Tribolium castaneum: one gene and its partner. The protein of the gene in region 1 interacts with the protein of each later gene in a biochemical or structural test. Links are inferred from orthologs where the notes say so. Each region holds a gene or a part of one and is shown in the gene's direction. Other genes may lie near its edges. The genes, in order: muc and Pdhb.

Region 1 (7,020 bases):
GGGGGTGAAAAAAATAAAGATAATAACATAAGTTTAGTTGAGACATTTTTGTAACGAGACTATATTTTTGACGATATCTTTCGAACGGTTAGCCGTAGCGGTTTGTTCCATTGGATTCAGCTGCTCATTTTCTATATTATACCAACTTTTCATGAGATTTTTATGGACTTCTACATGTCTTAACAACCCACAAAAGTTGTTAAAAGTCCACAAAAAGTCCATATGTTCAATTTTTTGATGTTTGAGTTTTTCAATTTTCGTCGCAGTTTTTGTCGGTTTTGGGTACCCGGAACATTTCTCGAGCAATAGCTCCGGAACTATTAGAGATAACCCCATGAAGTGTATTATCGTTGGAAAGCTCTTTATATTATTTATTTTTTTCAAAAAAGATTATTGTTCTCCGACTAATAGTTTTCGAGGAAATTGCTGATAAATGCAAAAATTGGTAAAATTTTAAAAAATTCATAACTAAACCACTATTGGGAATTTGGCAATTTTCTCGATGCCAATCGATTCCCCGGATCATTTTGCATAGGTATGGATCAAAACAGTTCCACTTTTTACAATAGTTTAGCCGTAAATAAAAAAATTAAAAAAATTAAAAAAAAGTTAACACCCCCCCCTTAAAATCGGTCAATTTTTAAAGTGTCTCAAAATCAAATGAAACCTATTCTATCTTATAGATTTTGATGTGCTCTTTACGATGGAACAAACCGTTTTTCTCTAGCTCTTTTAGTTTGGCCGTAATCGGCGTTTGAAAATTGAAAATTTTTTTGCGAGATATCGCCTTGAGTCCGATGCCATTTTCTAGAGTTTTTTATTCCGGTTGTCCTCCATTTTTCCGTTTCTCGATAACTCTAATAGTTTCGTCACAATTGGCGGTTGAAAATTGAAAAAAAGTGAAAATGGAAACCTTTTTTTGCGTTTTTCTCAGAAACTGTAAGACTTAGAGCAACAAACAAAAAACCATCTGATAGCGCTTAATTTTGTCTATTTTTTCGACCAAACCCGGAGCCGCTCCGGGCAACGGTTCCGGCTACAGAAGCGATCAAAGTTTTTCACTAAAAAAATTCATAAAAAAAAAACTAAAAGTCGTAGAGCATTGCGGTTGGTTCCATTGAATTCTACGGCTCATTTTACATATTATATCAATTTTTCACAAGAATAAAAAATTTAAAATTTTTTGCCTAAATTTAGGGTATCCATTTGTCATATTGAAAAATTTTTTTCATTAAAAAAATTCATAAAAAAAAAAACTAAAAGTCGTAGAGCAGTGCGGTTTATTCCATTGAATTCTACGGCTCATTTTACATATTATATCAATTTTTCACAAGAATTAAAAATTTAAAATTTTTTGCCTAAATTTAGGGTAGCCATTTGTCATAGTGAAAAATTTTTTTCAATAAAAAAATTCATAACTCGAAAACTAAAAGTCGTAGAGCAGTGCGGTTTGGTCCATTGGATTCAGCGGCTCATTTTACATATTATATCAGTTTTTCACGCAATTTAAAATTTTCAATTTTTTTGCTCAAATTTCCTGAGTAATACAAGACTCACCTTCAAAGAGGTGAAACAAAATTTTTTTTTAACTAACTCCTGAAAATTTTTATGGACTTCTACATGTCTTAACAACCCACAAAAGCTGTTAAAAGTCCACAAAAAGTCCATATGTTCAATTTTTTGATGTTTGATTTTTTCAATTTTCGTCGCAGTTTTTGTCGGTTTTGGGTACCCGGAACATTTCTCGAGCAATAGCTCCGGAACTATTAGAGATAACCCCATGAAGTGTATTATCGTTGGAAAGCTCTTTAAATTATCTATTTTTTTCAAAAAAGATTATTGTTCTCCGACTAATAGTTTTCGAGGAAATTGCTGATAAATGCAAAAATTGGTAAAATTTTAAAAAATTTATAACTAAAAAACTATTGGGAATTTGGCAATTTTTTTGATGCCAATCGATTCCCCGGATCATTTTGCAGGGGTATGGATTAAAACAGTTCCATTTTTTGGAATAGTTTAGCCGTAAATGAGAAATTAAAAAAAATAAAAAAAAAGTTAACACCCCCCCTTAAAATCGGTCAATTTTTAAAGTGTCTCAAAATCAAATGAAACCTATTCTATCTTATAGATTTTGATGTGCTCTTTACGATGGAACAAACCGTTTTTCTCTAGCTCTTTTAGTTTGGCCGTAATCGGCGTTTGAAAATTGAAATTTTTTTTACGAGATATCGCCTTGAGTTCGATGTCATTTTCTAGAGTTTTTTATTCCAGTTGTCTTCCATTTTTCCGTTTCTCGATAACTCTAATAGTTTCGCCATAATTGGCGGTTGAAAATTGAAAAAAAGTGAAAATGGAAACCTTTTTTTGCGTTTTTCTCAGAAACTGTAAGACTTAAAGCAACAAACAAAAAACCATCTGATAGCGCTTAATTTTGTCTTTTTTTTCGACCAAACCCGGAGCCGCTCCGGGCAACGGTTTCGGCTACAGAAACGATCAAAGTTTTTCACTAAAAAAATTCATTAAAAAAAAACTAAAAGTCGTAGAGCATTGCGGTTTGTTCCATTGAATTCTACGGCTCATTTTACATATTATATCAATTTTTCACAAGAATAAAAAATTTAAAATTTTTTGCCTAAATTTAGGGTATCCATTTGTCATAGTGAAAAATTTTTTTCATTAAAAAAATTCATAAAAAAAAAACTAAAAGTCGTAGAGCAGTGCGGTTTGTTCCATTGAATTCTACGGCTCATTTTACATATTATATCAATTTTTTACAAGAATTAAAAATTTAAAATTTTTTGCCTAAATTTAGGCTAGCCATTTGTCATAGTGAAAAATTTTTTTCAATAAAAAAATTCATAACTCGAAAACTAAAAGTCGTAGAGCAGTGCGGTTTGTCCCATTGGATTCAGCGGCTTTTTTTCTTTATTAAACTAATTTTTCACGCAATTTAAAATTTTCAATTTTTTTGCTCAAATTTCCTGAGTAATACAAGACTCACCTTCAAAGAGGTGAAAAAAATTTTTTTTTTTTAACTAACTCCAGAAAATTTTTATGGACTTCTACATGTCTTAACAACCCACAAAAGCTGTTAAAAGTCCACAAAAAGTCCATATGTTCAATTTTTTGATGTTTGAGTTTTTCAATTTTCGTCGCAGTTTTTGTCGGTTTTGGGTACCCGGAACATTTCTCGAGCAATAGCTCCGGAACTATTAGAGATAACCCCATGAAGTGTATTATCGTTGGAAAGCTCTTTAAATTATCTATTTTTTTCAAAAAAGATTATTGTTCTTCGACTAATAGTTTTCGAGGAAATTGCTGATAAATGCAAAAATTGGTAAAATTTAAAAAAATTCATAACTAAAAAACTATTGGGAATTTGGTAATTTTTTTGATGCCAATCGATTCCCCGGATCATTTTGCATGGGTATGGATTAAAACAGTTCCACTTTTTGGAATGCAGAAATTAAATGCTGTTAAGTTTTAATTTGTAATAGAAACACATTAGAATGGTCAGGAGATGTTTTACAAATGTGATATGCAGGTCAGCGTAACAGCTTATTGATGTTTTTCTAATGATTTATTTTGATAATTTTCCTGGTGTGAACTTGGCTGTAGAAAGCTAGCTCCATGCGCGGAGCGATTGTCTGGTCGACTGTAATTTTCATTGTGTCAGCACCATTTCTGTTGCTATCTTCACCAACATTGACGCTGTCAATTGGATATAAAGTCAACTGTGGTATTGTTGGTTGCCTGGCTTGTAATAATTCTTTGACTGGAATTCATTCAAATCTTGGGAATTTTATCAGCCGTGACGATTGTGTGATAAATGACGATCCGTTATATCATTACTTGTGTCATAACGTGATTTTTTGTTTGATTTACCGGTTGATAAGACTTGACGTTGTCGATTCACGGCGGCGCCGTCAAAAACGTGATCAGCACGTCACAGTCACAGATTTTCGACGTGAAAGTCTTTTAAATGACCTAGACGAGACAAAACCAGAGTAAGTCGCCCTCTACTCTCAGGAGAACACGAAAATCAATTGATATTATCACGTTTTTAATTTATTATAACAGAAGATGTTGCGCACGTTTGTTGTACGAAGTGAGTTAGCGAAAGGCGCTCTCAGAAAAGTTGTCCGGTCGAATATTGTCAGAACTCTGACTGTAGAATGCACAAAAAGGCGGAATAACCACAGGTAAGGAGATACCTTGATTGCGACAAAATTTTTACATAATCAGATTAATCTATTTTTATTAAACGAGTTTACATAATCATAACCTCACTTCGTCGGCCCCATCACATGTAACGTTGTGCAAATCGCAGATCGCTTCTCCTGAGAGAAAACAGGGCGCTGCAATGGCACGGCCCTTCGGTGAACCCCCTCCGGCGTTACGCAACCGAATACCCCCCTCACACCAAAGTCCTCCTCCCGGCCCTGTCCCCGACCATGGAGCTGGGGACCATCGTCAGCTGGGACAAGAAGGAGGGCGACCGCTTGAACGAAGGCGACCTCTTGGCCGAAATCGAGACTGACAAAGCCACCATGGGCTTCGAGACCCCCGAGGAGGGCTACCTTGCGAAAATCCTCGTCCCGGCGGGCACCAAAGACGTCCCCATCGGCAAACTAGTCTGTATTATTGTGGAAAATGAGGCCGACGTGGCCGCGTTCAAAGACTTCAAGGTCAGTCGATTTTCCAAATATTTGACCACTTTGTTTACCAATGATAACAGGACGATGGCGCCGCCGCCGCGCCCCCCAAGCCAGCGGCGACCCCGGCGCCGGAGGCCCCCGCCGCCGCGCCGACGCCGCCCCCGGTGCCCGCCTCCCCCGTGCCACCGCCCGCGGCAAGCGACCGTGTCTACGTCAGTCCAATGGCCAAGCGATTAGCCGAGCAACGCAACATCCGGTTGCAGGGCAAGGGGACGGGGCTGTTTGGGTCCGTCACCTCGGCCGACCTCGAGGGGATGGCGGCCGGGGCGCCGGCGGCGGCGCCGCCGCCCCCAGGTTCAGATAATGTTCCCAGTGGGGCCCCCTATGTTGATATCCCCGTGTCGGGGATGCGCAGCACCATCGCCAAGCGGTTGGTGCAGTCCAAGCAAAACGTTCCGCACTATTATCTCACCATTGAGTGCAATGTTGATAAGTTGTTGAAGTTGAGGAGTCGGTTTAATAAGAAGTTTGAAAAGGAGGGGGTGAAGTTGAGTGTGAATGATTTTATTATTAAGGCGGTGGCGCTGGCTTGTAAGAAGGTGCCGGAGGCGAACTCGGCCTGGATGGACTCTGTTATAAGACAGTGAGTTTTTCGTTTTGTTGGTGGAAAAATTGGGTAAGTGTTTGTAGATACTCTTCAGTGGACGTGAGTGTGGCTGTGTCCACTGACCGTGGCCTGATCACCCCCATAGTCTTTGGAGCAGACGGGAAGGGTGTCCTTGATATCAATAAAATAGTTAAGTCGTTGGCGGCGAAAGCGCGCGACGGGAAGCTCCAGCCGCAGGAGTACCAAGGGGGCACTATAAGTGTCTCAAATTTGGGAATGTTTGGAGTTGATCAATTCTGTGCCATTATAAACCCGCCACAAAGCTGTATTTTAGCAGTTGGTACCACTGCCAAGCGATTAGTGCCCGACGAGTCGGAGAAAGGGTGAGAAGCTGGGGATTGAGACGTTTCAAGTGTTTATATTTGTTTTCAGATTTAAGGAATCCCAGTTCATATCGGTGACGTTGAGCAGCGATCACAGAGTCGTTGACGGGGCTGTCGGGGCGCAGTGGTTGAAGTGGTTGCGCCAGTTCTTAGAAGACCCAGAGTCGATGATTCTTTAAATTATTGAAATATTTGTTAAATTTGTCATTTTCATCATACATTTTCGTGCCGTTTTTCCGAGGTGGACGAGGTGTTGCCTGCTGGTGTAGAGAAGAAATCTTCCATCTGTATATTTTTGCATTTACGATAAGTTTTATAGCGGATCTTGCACCACAGGTCTAGTTCGAGGGGCTGGTAATCATCCACATTGTGTTATCACGAACACTTTCATTGCTGATGTTTATATAAAAAGTTGTAATTTTTGTTGAGCAAGTGTATTTATGTATTTAAGTATAAATAAACTAATTGTACATAGGATTGTTTTATTAATATTCCTGAAATAAATCCCAACAAAAAATACACAAACAATAAGCCATGCTGGTTGGTGTCGAACTCCAAGAAAAGACTTTTTTAATTAAAAAAGCCGCTAAAAATTGCTAATTTTGAAAAAGGACTTCGGACCAGGATCACATGAACGCAAAGAGGTAAAAAATGTAAAGACCTCCTTGCGTTCCTATGATCCTAATACACATTCGATTTTAAATTTTTGCAAAATTTTTAAACGTACTTCGGACCAGGATCACAGAAATGGGAAGAGGTCAAAAATATAAAGACCTCCTCGCGTTCCTGTGATCCTAATACACATTTTTATTTTAAATTTTTGCAAAATTTTTAAACGGACTTCGGACCAGGATCACAGGAACGCAAAGAGGTAAAAAATGTAAAGACCTCCTTGCGTTCATATGATCCTAATTCATATTTTTATTTTAAATTTTTGCAAAATTTTAAAATGGACTTCGGACCAGGATCACAGGAATGCAAGGAGGTCAAAAATATAAAGACCTCTTTGCGTTCCTGTGATCCTAATAGACATTTGATTTTTAAATTTTTGCAAAATTTTTAACCAGACTTCGGACCAGGATCACAGGAATGCGAAGAGGTCAAAAATATAAAGACCTCCTTGCGTTCCTGTGATCCTAATCCACAATTTTATTTTAACTTTTTGCAAAATTTTAAAATGGACTTCGGACCAGGATCACAGGAACGCAAAGAGGTCAAAAATGTAAAGACCTCCTTGCGTTCCTGTGATCCTAATACACATTTTTATTTTAAATTTTTGCAAAATTTTTAACCAGACTTTGGACCAGGATCACAGGAACGCAAAGAGGTCATTAATGTAAAGACCTCTTTGCGTTCCTGTGATCCTAATACA
Region 2 (6,976 bases), on another chromosome or scaffold:
GTCGTCGAAAAACGCGCAAAAAGGGTGCCAATCCATTACAGATCCATCCCGCAAATGGGTTATTGATACTTGAGTATCGCAAGCGTGTCAATGTCGCGCTACATTTGCATAATATTCCGAAATGATGTGTGAAAGTTGATACTTAATTGATTTTGGCGATTTACAACGAAAACAATGTCGGAGGATTTTAGAGCGATGTGACATTGTAGTTGTTTACGTGAACGGTCGTAATTACATAAACAGATTTAAATGCAAATTCATTTTGTCGAATCAAAAATAATGTTTTTGACAATAGGCAGAAGCGAGCGGTTTTCGCCCCTTTTTCCAATCGTACAAGATTTTAGATTTTTTAAAAACTTACCTACTTATTATTATTATTTGTTATTTAACTTGCTTTGTTGTCTGTATGTCTGTTTCAAATTTTTTGAGCCAAATCTGAAAGGGTTCCCGTTGTCCCAATGAATTAAAATTTTGCATACTTACTTCATTTCCAAGCGAAAAAAGCATTATTTTTATTTTTTAGTGCATCTTTTAAATAAAAGTTTTTTCAAAAAAAAAAAATTTTTTAATTTTTTTATTTCGAACATTCGTTTTCAATTATAATAAAAGTTCTTTATTTTAATATTCCTTATTTATTTCCTCTAATTGTCCCAATTTTGCCGTTCAATGAAAACTAAGTGACCAAAGTGACAAGAACACACTCAACGTTTATGAATTGTCGTAAAGCACGTATGATTTGTTGTAATAATTGTAAGCAATTTGATTGGGCCGTTGGTGGTCGGTCATTATAATTACGGGAAAAAACAATCACTTGAGACATTTTGATTTATTCAAAAATTATACTTTTCTATATGATTGCATAAAAGTCGGCCATTATAATAATTGTGAGGAACCAGTCGTTTTTAATTTTTTGGATTCATTCAAAATTTTTATTCAATGCGAAAATTAAAACTAGTCAGTAAAATTAATAACTTCGATTTTTAATAACAATGTAAGAATTAAAAAAATACTTAACTAACGAAGACGCTTTGGATTTTATTAAACCGAAATTACCAAGTAAAAAGTGTGCCAGAATAACTTTTTGTTGGCAATACCGAAGTTAAATTTTAAAGAGTAATTACTGGAGTACACAGCAAGTTTGAAAAAATGTAATAAATAAAAAATAATTTTCAAAAAATTTGCAAAATTTCCATCCACCTAATTTTTTCAACAAATAATTTAACATCGTCGCAGTAAAAATATTTTTTTAGAATAACTCAATAATAATAATAATAATAATAATAATGATAATAATAATCATAATAATAATAATAATAATAATAATAATAATAATAATTTTGAAGTTTCCTAAGATGCAACAAATAAAACTATTGGATTGTTTTGTACGTTGTCTTAGCACAGTTTTGCTAAAATTTTATTATGAATTATAGTATTAATATAGCAAATCCTGCTCTCTTTTCCTTTACTAAAAATTACTCAATTAAAAAATCGCTTCAGATTCAAAAACTTTAAAAATTACCATCTATAAACATTTTTTTTGTAGCTCAGTGACAAACAAAAGACTTAATTTTTGGCTCTGATTAATATACAGGGTGTCTCACGTAACTTTACAAGGCCTGCGCTTAATGGACGTAACCAAATATACAAGTCACAAAACACTAGATACAAATATTTATTTATTTTTAAATAAATAATTGAATACGTTTTTATTGTTATTCTACTCATTATCATTAGTTAAAAAAGTCGGGTTTGTCTTTCTTGCATCCTTCAAAGCATCCTTTGATACATACTTTCTTATCAACAGAAATTATTAGCGACATTTTAAATTAATAAGCAGTAGAACTGACAACACAGCGAATTTTTGACAAGACAACGTCATAAAGACAGTACAGGACAGGACCTGAAGCCAACCTAACAAAAACATATCTACGCCTTCTGAGAATTTAAAACAATCCTGAACGGATAATATTTTTGGTGTCATTTTACGCAAACTTTGTAAAATTGTGTAAAACACCCTGTAAAATCAAATCAGAATTAGTGAAGACCATTGTAAACTTTTAGGACCTAGGAGTAATTATCCAATGTAATTTATTACTTTAATAATTATTATTAATAATAGTTATAAACATGCCAAACTGGATACTAATAGTATTTTAATATTAAAATATTGAGTCAAAAAATAAACTGCTTGAAAAAAGTTAGAAATATTAGCTTCTGGTACAACTCTAAACTAAAATATAAAGCTTCATAGAAAACACATATGATATTATTTTTCAAGCTTCTACAAAAATTATTATTATTATTATTATTATTATTATTATTATTATTATTATGTGTGTTTTTAATTAATTTTTGTTTAAAAAAATGGAAAAATTTGAATTTTATTCAAAAATAAATTGAATATGAATGAATAGATTCTTTAAAAAATATTTTATGTTGGCGCCATACAAAGTACGGTTATTTTTACTGTCCTCCGGTGTATAATTGTTTGCCTGCAACGTTATGTTCTGCTCCCTAGTGCCCACAACCTCAATTACAAAAAATTGAGAAACCTGTCAAACTTAACCTTCAAAAATCCGAATTTTATCAAAAATCTCAGATTTGATCTCTCGCTAGGAGCATGTCTCCAAGATAGCGTCACATGTGCGATTACGTATAACGAATGCTCAAGAGATAATAACCTAACAATCAACACCGACGTTTATTCGGTCCTCTCATTCTCCTTCACGACCTTAATCACCTTGACTGTCAAATCAGGTAAGTCAAATAATCAGAAATTTTCACCCTCAACTAAGAAAATCAACCCTTAGAAAAATGGCACCGATCAAAGCCACTAGTCTTTTGAACTTGGCCGGAAAAGCCCTCCACCGGAGACAATTCTCAGTGTCAAAAATCGCATCTGCCAAACAAATGACAGTCAGAGACGCCCTAAATTCAGCCCTAGACGAGGAAATGACCCGCGATGAGCGGGTTTTCATCATCGGCGAAGAGGTGGCGCAGTACGACGGCGCCTACAAGGTCACAAGGGGGCTGTGGAAGAAATACGGCGATAAGCGAGTCATCGACACGCCAATCACAGAAATGGGGTTCACAGGTTGTTGCTTAAAAGTGATTCGTTTAAAGGACTAATTTTTGGCCCCCCAGGAATCGCCGTGGGGGCTGCCATGGCCGGCCTGCGCCCCGTCTGCGAGTACATGACGTTCAACTTCGCCATGCAAGCCATCGACCAGATCATCAACTCGGCGGGAAAGACCTTCTACATGTCCGCGGGCCGCGTCAACGTCCCCATTGTCTTCCGGGGGCCCAATGGGGCTGCCGCCGGCGTTGGCGCCCAACATTCCCAGTGCTACGGCGCGTGGTACGCACACTGTCCAGGCCTCAAGGTCATCTCCCCCTACAATTCCGAAGACTGCAAGGGGCTCCTCAAGGCCGCCATTCGGGACCCTGACCCCGTGGTTTTCCTCGAAAACGAAATTTTGTACGGGGTGCAGTACCCCATGTCAGATCAGGCCCTTTCCAACGATTTTGTCCTACCGATAGGCAAAGCGAAAATCGAGCGACCAGGTAAAATCTTAGAGCCCCCAGGTTTTTTCCCCCAATTCGATTTAAAATTAAATAATTGATTAAATTTAAAAGTAATGTGTATTAAACTGTCCCTCTCAGAATCTTAAGAAATTAACAGTAATTTCGTTACTGTTTTCGGCAAGTACAGTATGTCGTCACCAGAGGGCGTCTAGTTAATTTTAACTGACATCTGGTGTAATGACATTATACAGACTGAACCAAAAGTAACGCCCATTTGTAATTTCATGCCATAGCATTAACATTTTAAGTTTTCACGATATTTTTTTTTTTTTAGGAAAACACATAACGATTGTGGCGCACTCCCGGGCGGTTGAAACGTCACTTCAAGCAGCGAATGAACTTTCCTCGAAAGGAATTGAAGCAGAAGTGATCAATTTGCGATCGTTGCGCCCTCTGGACATCAATACGATAACTGCGTCCGTTGCTAAAACGAATCACTTGATTACGGTGGAGCAAGGGTGGCCTTCGGCAGGGATCGGGGCCGAGATTTTGGCCAGAATTATGGAAAGCGAGGCCTTTTTCCACTTAGACCAACCAGCGATCAGACTGACAGGCGTTGACACGCCCATGCCATATACCAAAAGTCTAGAAATGGCCGCGCTTCCGGTGCCTAAAGACGTAGTCGAAATGACGAAAAAACTACTGAAGGTTAAGTAAAATCTCGAGTAATGTTCCTTTGTTTGAAATTGAAGCGTCGTCTGTATTGCCAACGTACAGTTATTATAATTTATTTATTTATTTCTCGTCCGGCTGAATTAATCAAAGGGTAAGTTTATAATTTTTACTTGTACAAACTGTTGTAAATAATAGTCTAGTTTTAATTGGATCAAGTGTACATTGCATTTTTTAAGCCAATTTTTTCTTATGTGGCCACTTTTACGGTTGTAAATTTTTGTAGACAATAAATCATTAAGGCTGATTGCTTGTTATTATCCCCTTCCTTTTCCGCAAAAACTCCTCATGGGAACCGGGCGCGCTTCAAATTACGCAAAAGCGCATCGTCTGAACTGGATTAATGGTGTCACGTGACACAAGGAAAGGCGCGCAATTCAAGAAAATACGTTTTAATACAAAAGTAACAAATTTAATTAAATACGTAGGTTAGGTAACAGTCACAATTCACAATTAACAGCACTTCTAAATATCCAAGGGCCTTTTGTTTAAATATTCATTTGCGCTTCTTTTGGACATTTTGTGTTCTTCCATGAATATTATTAAACATAATTCCGGCAGCAACACTTTGAAGAAGTAACTGTCCATTTTATCCTCTTGGTCAAACTCAGATTTCATTAAATCAAGGAGTACTTCCTTCTGTTGTTCACTAAACACGATAACACTGTTGCTACAAAACAAGCTCTTGGCTGAAGAAATGTTGTTGCCACTTTGGTGAAACGCCCGATGGCGATCTGAATATTTGCGTCCTTCCATAATTGCGTCCAAAGTGTCTTTGTGTCTCTCAAACGCTTTCTTCAAGTCCTTGGAAGTCAGGTGTTTACAATCAAGAAGCTCCTCCATGAAGTTATCTTCTTTTAGACTATCAATGCCCAGATTTTTCTGGAGAATATCTTCATCGAAAACATCAAGCTGTTCAACACTGCGTCTATATTGATCAAAGTTCTTCTGATCTGTTACGATTTTCTCAAACGAGGGAACTGACACGCCGTACTTTTCAAACGAAAAACTCCTTTGCAAACTCTTCTTCTTCTTCACGGTAACATCAAGCTGTTCTGGCTGCTTCTTCTGCGCCCGTTTCGACTCACCTTTATTCTCCTTATTCAACCACGAAGTAATTTTGGGGCTTTTGTCGCAGGCTGGCTTTCGTTTACGAGTCGAAGCGGCCTTCTTTGGTTCAGTCGGAGATGCCCTCTTTTGCAGTTGTCTCAGTTTTTCCATGAGATTATTCATGGCTTTGTCACCACACGATTTTTGGGGCTCCATTCTGGAAACCCGCCACTTCAATTTGACGTTGTCAACTTGACGTTTCTAAAGTGAGGTTAGGGTTTGTTTATTTTTGAAAATTCGCCTGATTTTTGTAATAAAATGAGGAATTTGAGTTTAAAGGTAATAGTTACGTTCTCGAATGGGTTAGTTATTAGAATTTTGCAGAGGAAACTACGATCATTGTATATTGTTACTGCGAGCGGATTAGGGGCATATGTGGCTATAAGTCTGTATAAAAACAATGAAAAGTTTTACAGAAACGTTGTAATGCCTTTAGTACATTTGCTGGAGCCTGAGCAAGCCCACCGGCTCGGGGTTATAGTCAGTAAATACCGCCTTGTCCCCTCAACTAATTACAAAGACCCCGAGTCTTTGGTAAGTCATTTTTTAACTGTAAGTCGTCACTAGGCCCTCAATTACAGAAAATTACTCTTTTCAATAAAGTTTTCCCAAACCCAATTGGCATCGCTGCCGGTTTTGACAAACACGCCGAAGCGGTAATGGGTTTGAAAGACATTGGTTTTGGTTTCATTGAAATAGGTTCAGTGACACCCCAGCCTCAGCCAGGCAATAACAAACCGCGAGTTTTCCGCCTGTCTGAAGACCTTGCTGTTATAAACAGATACGGGTTCAACAGCGACGGCCACGAGACCGTTTTACACCGACTTATTAATTTGAGACAAACCAAAAAATGTGATACTATACTAGGGGTCAATTTAGGAAAAAACAAGACTTCAGACGACGCTATCAATGACTACGTCATTGGTATTAAAAAATTAGGGCCAGTTGCTGACTACCTTGTTATCAATGTTAGCAGTCCTAACACGCCCGGCTTAAGGACAATGCAAGACAAAAACGTACTAAAAAATCTATTAAAAAGTGCCAAAGAGGCACGTGATAGCCTCCCTGAGGGGGCCAGACCCCCACTATTACTTAAACTAGCGCCCGACTTGTCCTACAGTGAGCTCAAAGACATTGCAAATGTGGTGAGGCAAAAAGACACGAAAATTGATGGGCTTATAATTTGCAATACGACAGTTGAAAGGCCACAATTTCTGCATAATGACAGGAAAGGGGAGACAGGGGGGCTGAGTGGCAAGCCTTTGAGAGAGGCCTCCACTAAGTTAATCGCAGAAATGTACAAACTGACACGGGGGGAAATACCGATTATAGGTTTGGTGTTTTTATTAATTTAAATTTTTACATTAAATAAATTATAGGTGTTGGCGGTGTTTTTACCGGCCGAGACGCCTACGAAAAAATCAAAGCTGGGGCTAGTGTTGTACAATTGTACACAAGTCTGGTGTATGAGGGGCCCCCGGTTGTTGCCAAAATTAAACGGGAGCTAGTGGAGTTGTTGGCCGATGATGGGTTTAAAAACGTTTCGGAGGCTGTGGGGTGCAGTGTTAAATAATTTTATTATTTGATTAACTTTTCCAATAAATTTAAT

What was found.
Region 2: the proteins of muc (region 1) and Pdhb form a complex in vitro, tested with the Homo sapiens proteins (2 studies listed by BioGRID and IntAct, with this or other methods). The link is inferred for Tribolium castaneum from reciprocal best matches to the Homo sapiens genes DLAT and PDHB.

What each region holds. Positions count from the first base shown.
Region 1 is NC_087399.1:3,913,232-3,920,251, forward strand, and holds muc (dihydrolipoyllysine-residue acetyltransferase component of pyruvate dehydrogenase complex, mitochondrial), read left to right. Parts: upstream 1-3,789; 5' UTR 3,790-4,007; intron 4,008-4,080; 5' UTR 4,081-4,083; coding exon 4,084-4,202; intron 4,203-4,330; coding exon 4,331-4,688; intron 4,689-4,738; coding exon 4,739-5,301; intron 5,302-5,348; coding exon 5,349-5,648; intron 5,649-5,697; coding exon 5,698-5,827; 3' UTR 5,828-6,123; downstream 6,124-7,020.
Region 2 is NC_087400.1:4,922,450-4,929,425, forward strand, and holds Pdhb (pyruvate dehydrogenase E1 component subunit beta, mitochondrial), read left to right. Parts: upstream 1-2,514; 5' UTR 2,515-2,757; intron 2,758-2,810; 5' UTR 2,811-2,814; coding exon 2,815-3,094; intron 3,095-3,144; coding exon 3,145-3,564; intron 3,565-3,859; coding exon 3,860-4,242; 3' UTR 4,243-4,504; downstream 4,505-6,976. Other genes in the region: Dhod (dihydroorotate dehydrogenase (quinone), mitochondrial), read left to right, coding at 5,626-5,646, 5,692-5,901, 5,949-6,699, 6,747-6,940. UniProt on the Homo sapiens protein: The pyruvate dehydrogenase complex catalyzes the overall conversion of pyruvate to acetyl-CoA and CO(2), and thereby links the glycolytic pathway to the tricarboxylic cycle.